Caenorhabditis elegans: one gene and its partner. The protein of the gene in region 2 purifies or fractionates together with the protein of the main gene of each other region. This does not show direct contact. Each region holds a gene or a part of one and is shown on either strand. Other genes may lie near its edges. The genes, in order: mltn-1 and coa-4.

The links.
Region 1: the proteins of coa-4 (region 2) and mltn-1 fractionate together in Caenorhabditis elegans (co-fractionation; one large-scale study listed by BioGRID). This does not show direct contact.

The regions. Positions count from the first base shown.
Region 1 is NC_003280.10:13,138,291-13,147,497, forward strand, and holds mltn-1 (MLt-TeN (mlt-10) related), read right to left. Parts: upstream 6,936-9,207; 5' UTR 6,868-6,935; coding exon 6,626-6,867; intron 5,830-6,625; coding exon 5,678-5,829; intron 5,490-5,677; coding exon 5,321-5,489; intron 4,589-5,320; coding exon 4,233-4,588; intron 4,149-4,232; coding exon 4,024-4,148; intron 3,368-4,023; coding exon 2,777-3,367; intron 1,684-2,776; coding exon 1,189-1,683; 3' UTR 1,054-1,188; downstream 1-1,053.
Region 2 is NC_003282.8:9,331,893-9,338,297, forward strand, and holds coa-4 (Cytochrome Oxidase Assembly subunits), read right to left. Parts: upstream 3,711-6,405; 5' UTR 3,710-3,710; coding exon of another isoform or gene 3,634-3,709; coding exon 3,482-3,633; intron 3,438-3,481; coding exon 3,374-3,437; intron 2,911-3,373; exon of another isoform or gene 2,737-2,910; intron 2,666-2,736; coding exon 2,567-2,665; intron 2,514-2,566; coding exon 2,355-2,513; intron 2,311-2,354; coding exon 2,080-2,310; intron 1,808-2,079; coding exon 1,631-1,807; 3' UTR 1,405-1,630; downstream 1-1,404. Other genes in the region: T20D3.14 (CHCH domain-containing protein), read right to left, coding at 3,617-3,709, 3,759-3,840, 3,895-3,995; slc-25A51 (Solute carrier family 25 member 51), read left to right, coding at 5,419-5,469, 5,516-5,588, 5,637-5,854, 5,940-6,083, 6,207-6,386.

The DNA of each region.
Region 1 (9,207 bases), on a different chromosome or scaffold from region 2:
ATTTTTAGTGAAATGGCAATTTTTGGCAAATTGCCAATTTTTTAGTGAAGTGCCAATTGTTGCAAATTGCCAAATTTCTAGTGAATTTCCATTTTTCAGTGAACCAATTTTTTTTAATTGGCAATAGTTAAATAAATTGCCGATTTTTCGTAAATTGTCAAATTTTTAGTGAAGTGCTAATTGTTGGCAAATTGCCAAATTTATAGTGAAATGGCAATTTTTGGCAACTTGCCTATTTTTTAGTGAAATGGCAATTTTTGGCAAGTTGCCAAATTTTTAGTGAATTGCCAATATTTTGTAGATGGGCACTTTTTCAGTGAGAGACAGGGATGAGCGGCAATTGCCGTTCGGCAAATCGGCAAATTGCCGGTTTGCCGATTTGCCGAAAAATTTTATTTTTGGAAAATTGCCGATTTGCCGTTTGCCGGAAATGTTTAGAGAGATTTTTTTATCAGACGCGGAAACAATTAAAACTGCGGAAAAAATTCTGAATTTTTTTCCGTTTTTTCTAAATATTTTCATGGAATTTGCATACTTTTCAAAATAAATGTAGGCACATTCATAGGATGTGAAATTCTGAAATTTCCAAAAAAAAAGTGCAAACCCACAATTTGCCGGAAACTTTCGGCAAATTGCAGTTTTTCCGGCAAATTTGGCGAATCGGCAGTTTTGTCGGTTGGAAAAGCAGAACTATTCGGCAACTTTACCGTACTCTTAGTAATATGGCAATATTTTTTGGAGCTCAAAAAGTGTAAAAAATTATGCAAAAAAAACTAAGTTCACTGGTTTTCGCTCGATTTTTGCCTAATGCTGCAAGATAAATCTGTGCGGCAAATTTCAAAATTTGCCGAGGTCTGCAAATGGCAAATTTGGCTAACTTGCCGAACACTCCTTGCTTGAGAGGAGCACTTAATGTATCTTGATGTAATTTGTTAATTTGTTAGACGCTCAGAAAACTAATCTTTATCCACTCTCATACCAGTTTTCGAACAGCTTAAAAAATATTTTCTTTAGACTATCTTGTCTGGATTTGTTTTAGTGTAAGTCAAAATAAAAATTATTATATTTTTATTATTATTAAAAATAATCAATTATTAAATTGTACATGTAATAGTTGTAGATTGAGAAGTTAGATATATGACCCATAAATTCACAAGTGAAGTATATATATATATATATATATATATGTTATGAAAGCCAACTTGGAGAGGCAAACACGGTGACCATAGCTCCATCGGATCCCCACGCGGGGCTCAGAGCATATGGAGAAAGCACGACAGCAGTCACATACTGAGGAGAGAGGATTGTCGGGGACAAGACGAATGGGGACAGAACTAGGGGACTCAACGCCAGTGGGTTCAGAATAATTGGTCCGAGACAGAACGGAGTCAAGATCAGTGGAGTCAGTACTTGTGGGGAGAGAATGAATGGGGCGAAGATGAGCGGGGAAAGTACGAATGGATTCATGGATCCTGGGCACAGGATGAATGGGTTAAAGGCTAGAGGTGATAGAATGATCGGAACCAGCAGGAACGGATTCACAGCTACTGGTGATAGAAGACGCGGGGAAAGAATGACAGGTACCAATAGCCATGGGGAAAGGATCATTACTCCGTAGACAGCTGGAGAGAGGATCAGTGATGACAGCATGACAGGAGACAGGATTGCCGGTTGGGAGACAGCCTGCAATATGGGAGATTTTTTGTTGGAAAATTTTGAATAAATTTTCCAGATTTTCAAGTAAGAGCGTTCGATTTTTGAGAAAATTGAGACAGAGCCACTGATAATGGCAATATTACACTATTCAAAATTTTTCTATGAATAACAGTAATTTTGGTGCTCCAAAAAATATTTAAAAATCAAAATTTTCCGAGTTTGCGAAGAACGGCAAATTTGCCGAATTTGCCGAGTTTGCCGAGCTCTGCAAATTTTCAGATAGCCCTGATCGGCACATTACGAAACTAAGATAGTCTTCGAGCAATTTTTCAAAACTTTCACTGAAAAGTAAAATTCTTTTCAGAATATACAAACATGTTTCTATATATTAAACAAAATTCGTTCCATCTGAAAATAACATTTATATTTGTTGAAAAATCTCTTAAAAAGCCTCAAGTTGTGCCAGAAAGTTGCCGTTTGCTGAAAAAAATGCCGTTAAAAGTATTTCGGCAAACGATAACTTCCAGGGACTATTTGAAAATTTTTTCAAACTTTTCAACAAACATAAATATTATTTTCAGATAGAACAAACATTTTTCTACACTTCTATACCTATTTTAGATTTAAAAAATTGGATTATCATATTGAAAATATTGAAGCCGTTTTGTATGTTTGCTGCACAGTCAGCAATTGTCGACCGGCACAGCAATTGTCGACCGGCAATTCTACAAAATGAGACGGTTGGCCAGGCTCCCCATAAATTTTTCATTGAAATTTAATGATAGAATATAAAAAATATTTGCTTCATTTAAAAATTACTGTTAGTTTAGTAGAAAGATCTTCAAAAATAGTCTGAATGTTGAAAATTTCCGGTGAAAATTGCCGAAAAATTGACGGCAATTTTCCACATTCAGACTATTTTTGAACACTTTCTCGCTATTTAAAAGTCTAGTGAAAATTATTTTCAAGTAAAGCAAATATTTTTTATATTGTATCTTTAATGAAAAAAAAATAAAAAATTTAATGAAAAATATTGTTGGAACATGCCCAACCGTCTAATTTTGTAGAACTGCCGGTCTGCAATTGTCATGCACCCCTGCGCACAGGCCAGTTAACTCACCACTGGATCCAAAATGAAGTTACTAAATGTGATCGGTGATAAAATAATATCATTTCTCTTTGCCTCAAATTTGACTTTCTCATGTGCCAAGTCCTTGATTGTTCCCATAATAGCTCTATCGATTTGTGGTCTGCTCATTGATTTTGCCAATTTCAAGAACTTCTCATTTTCCCCCACTGATCCCTTCCCGTAGATCAAATCCATCTGATCATGTCTCATAATAGTATAGCCTGTTCTGTTCATCTCCTTGAGCTGCTCATCGGTATAAGTTTTATCCAAAGACTCGAACATTTCGATTTTCCTCGCCTCATGCGGATATTTTTCTGTTACATTTTCTTTTGTGAAGTACAACGGTTGACCTTCAGGCCCTCTTCCCATCGCATCGTCTTTGAGTCTTCGATACTCTCCGATTTTTCTTTCAACCCGTTCCATCGCTTCATTGACACCAGTTGCTTCCACAATAAAATCCAAGAAATCCTGAGAGTCTTTGTTATCGGTGAGAGATCCTAGGATGTTTCCGAGTGATGCTTTCTTTTCTACTCCAGAGCCATCCTCGTGTAGAGCAAATAGTGAAGGAGAGAGGAGATCAATCTGTAAATTTCGAACATTGTGTCCGGCAAATATGCCGAATTTGCCAAACTGACCGAGCTCGGCAAATTTCGTGATTTGCCGCCCCTGGAATCGGCAACTTCGGAAATTTCCGGTTTTGGAAACTCTCGGCAATTGTCGGTTTTAGAAATTTTCGGCAATCCGCAATTTTGGAAATTGTCGGTTTTGGAAATTTCCCGGCAATCGGCAATTTCGGAAATTGCCGGTTTTGAAAATTTCCGGCAATCGGCAATTTCAGAAACTGCCGGTTTTGGGCATTTTTTTCGAGATTTGCTGGTTTTGGAAATTTTTGTTTTCTATCGAGATTTGCTTGTTTTCGAAATTTCCTGCAATCGGCAATTTTGGAAATTGCCGGTTTTGGAATTTTTCGGCAATCGACAATTTCGGCAATAGCCGGTTTTGAAAATTTTTGGCAATTGCCCGTTGCCGAAATTGTTATGGTTCGGCAAACTTGAAAATTGCCGGTTTTGGAATTTTTCGGCAAGCGGCAATTTTGGCCACTACCGGTCGCCAAAATTGATTTGGCCGACCGAAACTTTTGAAATTCGGCTAGTCCGAAAATTGCCGGGTGCCGAAATCGTTAGGGTTCGGCAACTTCGGCAAATTTGCCAAATTTGCCGCACACGCCTGTCCCTTACCTCATTATTCTTTGCAGCTTCTTCTTGTGGAATCACACTCATAAGACGTGGACTGATAATTCTGACAATTTTCCGATCGAAATCTGTTGTATTGTGACCCGACATTTCCAATCCCATCTTGGCGGCTGTTTTTTATTTATTATAATTAGAAGGTTTCGTTTTGTAAAAATATATCTTTTGGCCAAATTAAAAATTTTCACATTACTAACCATCTCTCATCATTTTCATCGGAATCATCATCAACTTTTCCTGTTCCGTCATTTTATTCTTCCTATTCCTCAACACCTCCTTAATCTGATCATTGTCTATAAATTGCTCCAAATCGTTGAACTCCTTTAAACTATCATCCTTCGCAATCTTCTTATTCTGCTTCATCTTTTCAGCTGCATCTGCATAAATCGACATTCTCTTTTGCATAAAATCCTCCATTTTCTTTTGCTCTTTGATTTCTTCGGCTTTCTTGGTGATTCGTTCGATAGTATCTTGCCACTTTGACACCTTGTCCGTCTTTTTGAGAAGTTTCACAGCGCTAGAGAGATGTCTCGTTACCAGGCCGAATGGTGTCCTAGAACAGATTACGGTTTATACATATTTTATGGCAGCAAACAAATTGTTTAAATCGGCAAATCGGCAAATTGTCGGAATTGAAAACTTCCGGCAAATTGGCAAATTAAAAAATTGCCGGAATTGAAAACTTCCGAAAAACCGGCAAACCGGCAAATTGTCGATTCGCCGAGTTTGTCGGACAATGGCAATTGCCGAAAACTGTCGACAAATAGTGGATTGTGGTTTTGTACTTTTTTGGAAATTTCAGAATTTCAAATTTTGTCGACAAAATGGTACGCATTCGATGAATGTTCCTACATCTGTTTTGAAAAAAATAAGCAAATTCTATAAAAATATCTAAAGAAAACGGGAAAAATTTCAAAAAGGCACAATTTTAAGTGTTTCCGTCTTATAAAAATTATCTTTAAAAACGTCTGGCAATTTGGCAAACCGGCAAACCGGCGATTCGGCAAATCGATAAATTGCCGGAATTGAGAATTTCTGACAAATCAGCAAATAGCCGAAAATCAAAATTTCCGACAAATCGGCAATTTGCCGAAAATCAAAATTTCCGGAAAATCAGCAACCCGGAAATTTGCCGAAAATTAAAATTTCCTGCAAATTGGCAAATCGGTAATTTGCCGAAAATGAAAGTTTCCGGAAAATCGATAATTCGCCGAAAACCGGCAATCCGATTTGCCAATTTTTTTTGTCAATAAACAATTTTTGCCGCCAACACTCAACCACTTACATTTCTTTTTCGGCTTTTAAAGTATAGCTATCTCTGGTGTGCACTCTAATTTCTCGTTTTGCCCGAAACTTGAATGACCCAATCCATTCTTTATCTTCCCGAATCTCTTTTTCAGTTATTGGAGTCATTGTAGTGTTGGTAACCATCTTATCGATTCGGCGACGCATCTCTGGAATATGTTCAGTACAGTGGGGATCAGGGCTGAACGGCTAGCTGATTTTTTTTTTTGGCTGTCAGCTCGTACAGCAAGCCGACTAATTGGGCAAAATTTGGGCAAAATTGGGAAAATTTCTTCAGAAATTCTCAAGTCAACTAGAAATGTTTACCTTTTAAACTACGTAAAATTAAAATGCTCACTTCTGCTGAAGAGCTTTCTCCTATGAACCAATCGATTTCTATGTGCGTCGTCTTCTAGCTTGAGCAAGCAACTTGCGTGCTCCGAAAGAGTTTCAGCCTCGGATGAGCATTTCTCATGGCTCTTTTTTTGGTAGTCTTCAACAAGGGCTAGTCTGAAATATTAATATATTTAACAAATTTAACAAATTGCTCGTGGCATTAAATGCGTATTTTCTTAAATGTTAAGTAACGAAATTTGAGAAATTGCCATTTTTAGATCTAACATGGTCCAAAACTACCAAATTTTGTAATGAGACGTTCTGAAAATTTATTTTTTAAAAAGTTATGGCCGCTCAAAGTTTAGGCAAAAATGGTCAATTTCTAGCTAAAATCTCAAATTTCGGCAACTTTTCAGAGTGCGCGGCAATTGCCAGCCGGCAATTCTACAAAATGAGATGGTTGGACATGTTCCCACAATATTTTTCATTAAATTTTCATGATATAATATAGACAAATATTTACTTTATTTGAAGATAACTTTTATTTGACTTGGAACAACCGAGAAAGTGTTCAAAAATTGTCCGAATATTGAAAATTACCGGTGAAAATTGCCGCCACTTTTTCGGCAATTTTAACCGGCAATTGTCAACATTCAGACTATTTTTGGAGATTTTTCTACTAAAATAACAGTTATTTTCAAATAAAGCAAATATTTTTCTATATTGTATCATTAAATTTTAATGAAAAATTTATGGGGAACATGCCCAACTGTCTCATTTTGTAGAATTGCCGGTCGAAAATTGCCGCGAAAAGTTGCCAAAATTTGAGATTTTAGCTAAAAAAAAAGATCATTTTTTCCAAAACTTTGAGCGGCCATAACTTTTTTTTGAAAAATTTTCAGAACGTCTCATCACAAAATTCGGTAGCTTTAGACCATTTTAGGTCTAAAATAACAAAGTCTGATCTCACCTTCTTGTAGCAATCGCTGCGACAACTCCGGAAAATCCTTGAACCGCCCAATGCTCCAAGAGCTCTTCTCCAGACTCTGTCGACATGGGAACATTGAAAACTTTGTCTTTATAATGTGGAGATTTCAAGATTTCTTTTTGCGTCAACCCATATTTTGTCACATCTACTTCCGATTTAACTTTTAAGCAGGTGCATGGATACGGTAGAAGTGTTAGAAATAAAATAATAGGGAATAGGATCATAATGTGGTAAACCAGAGACCAGAGAAAAGGGATTCCCTGTGATTTTATGGATTTCTGGATGTAAAGAGGGCGGAGTTTTCGGATTCATCCCGAAAGTTTTTCCAAAACGTGGTTATCACTTGCTGGGCGGTGCCTTCCCGTGACGAGGAGAGAAGATGTTCTCAAAGGATGGGAGATGATCCCGTTGAACCAAGATCTATAGCATAACAGGTGGCCACATTTTGATCCTGATTTTCACGATTTTGATGATAAAGATTGAAGTGTGTATGTGTGTGTTCATATCACGTGGAATGCGCATTGTTTCAATGATGCTAGTTTGAAGGGGGGGGGGGCGGTCAAAAAGGATTCAAGTTTTGGTTTTTATCTTTGAAAATGCGAAAAACTATTTGTTCCCTGTATGTGTGTTTGACAACTTCTCAGGTTCTTCGGATTTGGAAGGATTAGAAGTTTTATACGGTAATTCAGTTTTCTCGAGTGATATCCAATAGGATCCCTATATTTGATTACGATTTATGCACACAGTGTACCGGTAAACTAGGCTGGGCGGCAAACTACAAACGATTTTTTCCGGCAAATCGGCAAATCGGCAAATTGCAGAAATTTAGCATTTTGACAAATCGGCAACTTGCCGGAATTTAAATTTTGGGCAAACCTGCAAATCGGCAAATTGCCGGAATTAAAAATTTTTTGGCAAATCGTCGGAATTGAAACTTCCGGCAAATCGGCAAACCGGTAAATCGTTGGAATTGAAATTTTTGTTGGCAATCCGGTAATTTGCCGATTTGCCGAATTTGCCGGAAAAACGGAGATTTTCGAAAATTTTCGCCGAATTGTGGTTTTTCAATTTTTTTAAGCTTTAGAATTTCAATTTTAATCGGCAAAAATGTACGCATTCTATGAATGTTCCAGCATCTTTTTCGAAAATAAGCAAATTCTATGAAAATATTTAGAAAAAACGGGAAAAAATTTCAAAAAGGCACAGTTTCAAGTGTTTCTGTCTTCTAAAAACTCCCTCTAAAAATTTCCGGCAAATTGATGTTTGGCAAACGGCAAACCGGCAAATCGGTAAATTTCCGGCAATTCGGAAAATCGGCAAACTGCCGAAAATGAAAATTTCCGGAAAATCGACAAACCGGAAACTTGCCGAAAATTAAAATTTCCGGCAAATTGGCAAATCGGTAATTTGCCGAAAATGAAAGTTTCCGGCAAATCGATAATTAGCCGAAAATGAACGTTTCCGGCAAATCAGCAAGTTGCAGAAAATCAAAATTTCCGGCAAATCGGCAAATTGCAGGAATTGAGAATATCCGATAAATCGGCAAATCGACAAATTGCCAAAAATAAAAGTTTCCGGCAAATCGGCAATTTGCCAATTTGCCGAATTTGTCGACAAAAAATTTGCCGAACGGCAATTGAACAATCAATGACTTACATTTCTTTTTCGGCTTTTAAAGTATAGCTGTCTCTTGTGTGCACTTTAATTTCTCATGAATGTTCCTACATCTATTTTGAAAAGTAAGCAAATTCTATGAAAATATCTACAGAAAACGGAAAAAAAAATTCAAAATGCACAGTCTTAAGTGTTTCCGTCCTTTAAAAAATCCGCCTAAAACCTTCCGCCAAATTTTGAGCCGGCAACGGCAAATCGGCAAATCGCCGAAAATGAAAACTTCCGGCAAATCGGCAAACCGAAAATTTGCCGATTTGCCGAATTTGCCGGAAAATAAATTTGCCGAAAATTTAACAAATATATTTTTTACAAAAGAAAAAAGTTTGATTTCTTATCTTCGGAATTTAACATTTTTCAATATTTTTTTCATCTTAAAAAATTGTGAAATCTTCAATTGTCTTTGATTTTTGTAGCTCATTTCGTAGTAAAAAAATCGTGTTTATTTTTAAAATCAAATTTTAAATTAGTACGGCTTTATTATATTTAAAAAAAAATGCGAGAATAAAACGATTGATTTGAACTTATTTTCGACTCCCAAAAATTTTGTGTACTGTTAATTTATCAAAATTTCTCATTTCAGAGAATAAATTTCTATTTACCATTTTTGAAACAATGTTCTTTAAAATTATAAAAATTTATTGTAAATTCTAGAAAATTTCAGATTTTTTAGAAAGTTCTAGAATTTAGAAAATTTGAGTTTCCCACCATGCCTTTTTCTCCGACTGGAATAAATAAATAGGGCAGACTTTCGGAAAAGATGGAGTATGTTTTATACGGTAATTCAGTTTTTTCGAATCCCGGCCAATTAGACAAGTTTCCTGGGTCGATCTAATTTAGATAAATTTTCCAAGATGCTTCACTTATCTCTACATTTTTTTAATAAATATTAT
Region 2 (6,405 bases):
TCACCCGTGAGCTGTCAACCACACTTGGGTCCCGTCAAACCAACATTGTACGAGGCTGGGAACCTCTTGGAATAAAGAAACTTATGGGTCAATTCATACCTCACACCTTGACACAGGCGAATCTTGATTTTTTAGTGGGTGATTCCTTTTCCCTCCTCATTTTCCACGGGGCCGATCGATGGTTGGGCCGACTCATTACTGGTAACGAGAAGTGGGTCCTCTACGATAACAACCACAAGCGTGCTCAGTGGATTGGAGAATGAGAGACACCACAGGATGCCGCCAAACCCGACCTTCACCCCAAAAAAGGCATGCTCTCAGTGTGGAGGGGAGTGTAGGGCCCTTTCTACTGGGAACTGCTGCCTGAGGGCAAAATGATTAGTGGGGACATCTACGTTATCTAACCATGGAACATGAAGGAAGTCATCGATGGTTCACCCCTGATGGACAAGCAATTCTGTTTTCAGCAAAACAACGCTAGTTCCCACCTCTCGAAACAGGAAAAGTAGGAACATACCAGCCATGGATGGATGGTTCTCCTTCACGCACCGTATTCTCCAGACCTCACTCCATCTGAATACTAGTCGTTTTCAAATATGACCCGTGTCCACGAGCGGAGAATCTTCAATACCCAAAAAAGTGCCAATGTAGCACTCAAGCATTATTTCGACTCGCGCCCGGAAGGGTACTGTTAGCAGGGCATTAATAAGTTGCCCACACGTAGACAGTATATTGTTGATAATGATAGCGAATAAAATGTATCCTATCGTTTCTCTTGCTTCGAGAAATAAACGATTGAAAAAGTTATAAAGACTTCCGGACCAACCTAATACTTCACCGTTTAAAAAACTTGGAAAATGTGAAACATAAATTTTTTTGACATATCTGGTGAAACAACTATATTCAAGAGAACAGGAAAAATTAGCAGAACAGCAAAGCTGAAGGATGGAGCTGTACTGAGTCGTTTTACGGGGGCTCGAATCTTCGCCTCTCGCGCGGAAAGTTGAATGCAAAGAAGGCAGAAGATAAAGCGGTTCTATCACGACCGTATGGAATATCTAGTTTATTTTAATCAAATAAACTACTGAAAATTTTCTCCCAACAGTACAAAAACCTTAGATTTTCAGTATAAGAAGTTTTTTGAAAATAAATTTAACTTTTACATCTTGTTTTTTTTCAAAAAAATATTAAAAAAAGAACGGTAAAATTTGAAAAAGTGACGTTTAAAGAAAAAGTGAGAAGCTGACTCAAAAAAAGGGCAGGGCGTCGTCAAGATTCTCGACCGTGTGCATACACACCGAATCGTGGCAAAAATTATATGATCGTGTCGTCGCAGCACATTTGATATCACCTTGGCATATCAGTATAGGTTATCAAATCGAATTACGTGGACATTGAATGCTTTTTAACTGGATGATTATTGAGGAGACACACCTCGTAAAAAGGAAAACTGTTAAAATGGTTTGGGGAGAGTGTATGTCACTCCCAATTCTTGTTATGCAAGTTTGCAGTAATGAACTTTTTGAAAATTGCAAATTTTCAGATACGGAAGCCAACAAAATACAAGTAACAATTAAACGATAAGAGAAAAAATGAAACAATGAACAACCTAACAAAATAGCCTAGAAAATTAAAATGACAAAAATGGAAAACGATGAAAGAAGTCTTCAATTGTGGCTGGTTGATCTGAAACTGGAATTAATTTGTTTTTGGAGCGACTTTCATGAGCACGAAATTCTGAATTTGGAGTGGATTCGACTGTTGTGGTGTCTTTGTGAGAGTTGATAGAAGAGTGAATTGATTCGATCTGAAATTGAAGATAACGAAATTATTCATAATTTGGGAACTATGGCAATGCATTTCTATCTAAATATAATTTCTAGGTTTTTTTAAAATAAAATCAACTCTATATTTAGAGAAGTCATACTAACATACTTTAAATATAGAAAAATGTATTCACAAAAGTTCAGAATTGATTGCTAATGAATGTCTAGATCACTTTGAGGTTTTGGGAATAATATTCACTATTTTATATGGTACAATTTATAAAATGTTTTTAAATTACATTTGATAACTCACAATATTACTTTCCAATTCTCCTTCCAACTCATTTAATTCTTTTGTTATTTTCTCCAATCTCTTCTTCAATTTCTCCTGAATAAATCCTTTGGAATGATCGATTTCATACTTCAAAACTTTCTTCATTTTCAATTTCAGCCCAAACATTTCCAACTTCGTGAAATATTTTGAGCCGATTTCAAAAAGCTGCCAATTTTCGAATGATCCACACAATTGACAAAGAAGTGCCATCTAGAAAACTCGGAGTTGTATTATGTTTGCATTCGATAAAATACCGTGTTTTTGAATTCTTTCTGATAGTTTGATGTGAAAGGTAACTTTGAGAGAAGAAAAGCTTTTGTTCGTAGAAACTGAATTTGATCACCAAAATCGACCAAAATGGATTCGTAGTAGGAAAGAAATTGTAGAGAAATTGAAGTTTCAGGTGAAGACAGCTGAAAAAAAATCATATAAAATTTATAGTTTCATATACTAAAAATAAAATTACCTCCGATGTTTTTTTGATGGAACATTGGAGAAGAGAATCGATTAGCATTATTTCATGTGTACGATTGTTTTTCGTGCTTTCACGGAGCCCGGTGAGAATCTAAAATTGAAACTTTTGAAGTTAGAATATGATTTACAAGTAAAAAGACAAAACACCAATAAAACGTCACAAAAAATTTGGAACGCTTCACGAATTTGCGTGTCATCCGTGCGCAGGGGCCATGCTAATCTTCTCTGTATTGTTCCAATTCTAGAACATATACTAAAATTGGAACAATACAGAGAAGATTAGCATGGCCCCTGCGCACGGATGACACGCAAATTCGTGAAGCGTTCCAAATTTTTAGATCTTTTCAGTGGCGTTTTGTGTTTTGTACTTTTAAATTTAAAAAGAATTTCAGGTTGTTCTATGTTTATTTTTGTAACAAACAATTTCGTAATTTTTTACTTCTGAAAAGTTAACTCACCACGACAAATTTTTGTTAAATCCGAAAAGGCGTGCGCTTTTGAATAGTACTGTAATTTCAAGCTTTTGTTTGGAGAAATTTTTATAGATTTTTCGTAGTTTTTTGATGAAAAATATAGTTTTCTTATTGAAGTTGAAATATATAACAATAAAAACCTTGAATTTAAAATCTAGAGAGAAACAATGAAAAATCGATGAAAATTCCGCAGCAGCGAAATTCTGAAATTAAAGTACTTTAAATGCGTACGCATTTAACAAAAAATTGTCGTGTCAACACCGGGCTCATAACTTCCAGCCAAATTTCGGATTAAAACCAAAAATTTAAAAATGAATGATTCTTACATTTTCAGCGCATTCGAAATCCCCATTATGATAACAATCAGCCACTCGGAACAAGTCAATTTCACTGAAATTACGAGTTTTATGTGAATAAAAATTAATCCAACTTACGTTATTGCAGTCGCTGTTTGATTTTCTTTTAAAGCATTACGATACCAATATTTTTCATGGAAATTCGGTTTGAAAGGTAGATAAGTTGGTTTTTCTTGATGTTTACAATTATTTTCGTCATCGGAAGGGTCAAAATCATTGAGAAAATCCATTATTCTTTGTTTCTGATTCTTCTTTTGGTGGCTCACCGACTTGAACGCTTTGAACACAGGTTCTGAATTCTTTTACCTAAAGTATATTTTTTTTAATAATAAAAAGAAAAAAGAAGAAAACAAACCACGTCTTGACACTTTCTCCAATCTCTATGTTCTCCCATACAATCCGAGACTTTTAGATGAAGATCCCAGCACCCAGACTTCCTGAAAATAATATTTTTGTTTTAAATTTCAAAAAAATTGCATCATATTTCATACTTTATGAGTGACTCGACACGGTCTTCCTGATCGGCGTTTCCAGTCCAAATATGAGGAGATTTTGGTGCTTCCTTAGTAGCAGTTGGAGCAGCAGTTGACATTACCCTGTGACAATTTTCTGTTCTTTGGTATTTTATTGAAAAATAAAAAGAAGCAACGTTTTCGAGAAAAGACAGACAAAGCGTAGGATGAGAGATTTGGAGTTTAGAAAGAGACGCAGGCATTGAGAGAACCCTGCAGTGTACATCGCTCGGGGTGCCGATTTTCCGAGTGAAGTACACAAGAGTAGTTAAAATTGAAACAACTCGGTTTTTTTTTCAATTTTCAATTTTGATTATACTTCGGCGTTATCTCTTTTTCTTTCTCTTTTCGATAATCGGTGAAATTTTCGCACGCAACCTTGGCTGCGACGGTGAAAAATTGCCGCAGAACTATTCCGCTAGTTAGGAACATTTTTTGATAATCTTAACAAGCGACTTTGCTGTCCACCACGTGTTTTACACGTTATTTTATTTTTGAACTTGTAAAAAGCTTTTTTAATATAGTTTTAATATGAAAACTAGCAAATCGGAGAGCCGCGCCAGCCCTTCGGTAATGGGGATGCCCGAAAAGGTAGCTTGCGCAGGTTCTCGGCTTTGCCTCAAACCTGAGATGGGGATATTCGAGATTTCCTTGAAATTTGGGATCGATTGATTAAAGAACGAAGCTTCTGCGATGGTTTTGAGCTGAGATATGAGCGATTTAAGTTTGAGGAAATCTGGTTAGTTGGCTTGAGCGAATAACAATCTGCTTGGAATAGGATTACAAGAGGAAAAAAGGCTGAAAATAAGAAAGACAAACGAAATTTCGAAAGAAAAACATGAAACCTCTTCTCTGAAAAACGAAACAGAACAATCGAAAAAAATTTTGTACAATCTTGTTGTCCGAGAGGAGTTCGTGTAGAAGAATATCGGCCACGGCCACCGTCGAAAAATTTGGATATTTAATTTATTTCTAGCCCGAATTAAAGCTTATTCTAAACTTTTGGAGCTGTTTTTTGATGTATTTAAAGAACAAAATGTGTATTTTATTGAAAACTGATCTGTATATAGGTTTAATTTGATGAAACTTGTCTTTTCTGCCCGCGAAATGGTGTGGCCTAGAAAATTCTAAAGAATATTTTCTTAATTTTATCTTTTGTCAACAAGAAGCTTGTCTCATGCTCAAAAAATCGTTCTTTTTCGAACTTTGACTGGTTATTAAAAATTAAACTTTTTCAGGTAATAAAAGCTCGAATTCCGCGCAAAAATCACGCTGGAGAGCAGTCGGAAGTCGGCGGACCCGGCGACCACTGTCGCTCATCGAAACCATTTGGATTTCTTGGCGGGATGGGGAGCCGGATGCATCGAAACATGCATTTTGTATCCATCAAATAAAATCATCTTTCGACAGCAACTTCATGGATTCCACGTGAAAGATGCAATTCAACAAATCAAATTGGAAGGCGTTGGAAAGTTGTACAGAGGACTATTACCTCCTCTAATAATGCGAACGACGAGTAGAGCATTAATGTACGGATTATATGATGAATTTCAGGTAATTTTACATGAAATATTTATATTAACAAGGATAAATAATTTAGATCTCCTTAAAATGTCCACGTTCACCTCCGAACTCTTCGTTTTCAATTTGTCACGCTCAAGCTGCATTTCTGTGTAAGTGATCAGTTAACCATTAATTTCTTTAAAATTAATATTTTTCAGCAGGAGTATGCGAAGCAATGCTCTGCCCGCTGGAACGGGTTCAAGTACTTCTTCAAACAACAATATTTCATGACAAATTTAAGAACACATTACACACTTTCAATCGTCTCCGCGACTATGGTTATCGGGAATATTATCGAGGATTTTCTGTTATTCTCATCCGAAATAGTCTTTCAAATACAATTTTCTTCACTCTTCGAGATCCGTTGAAACAAAAAGTGAGCTTATTTTCTAGGGATATTATAATTTACGATTTGCTTGTAGCATTTTAAAAAATACTTTCCTATAATATCTGTGTTTCAGATAGTCGGAATCCCACAAGCTGGACGTCTTCCTGAATCACTTCAGCAACTAATTGGTGATTTCGTAGCTGGATCTCTATTGGGAGCAACCATTTCTACAGCATTTTTCCCATTAGGTGTTATCAAGAATCATATGCAAGCGAAGGTAATTTGTTAACTATCAAAAATTATTAAAATACTTACTGATCTAAACTATATTTCGGATATCTTAACTCCGAAATATATTTTTTTTAATCCAAAAGTATCGTAAATCATTCAATTTTTCCAGGTTGGTGTCAAATACGAAAGTGGTTTCAAAGTATTTCGTGATGTGTGGCAACTTCGAAATCGTTCGCTTCGTGGTCTTTATTTAGGTGTTCATCTAAATTTCACTCGATCCTTAGTAGCATGGGGAATCATCAATTCAATGTATGGAATCCTTCGGCGAGCACTTGCTCCATTTGAATAATAAGAAACAAAAATTATAA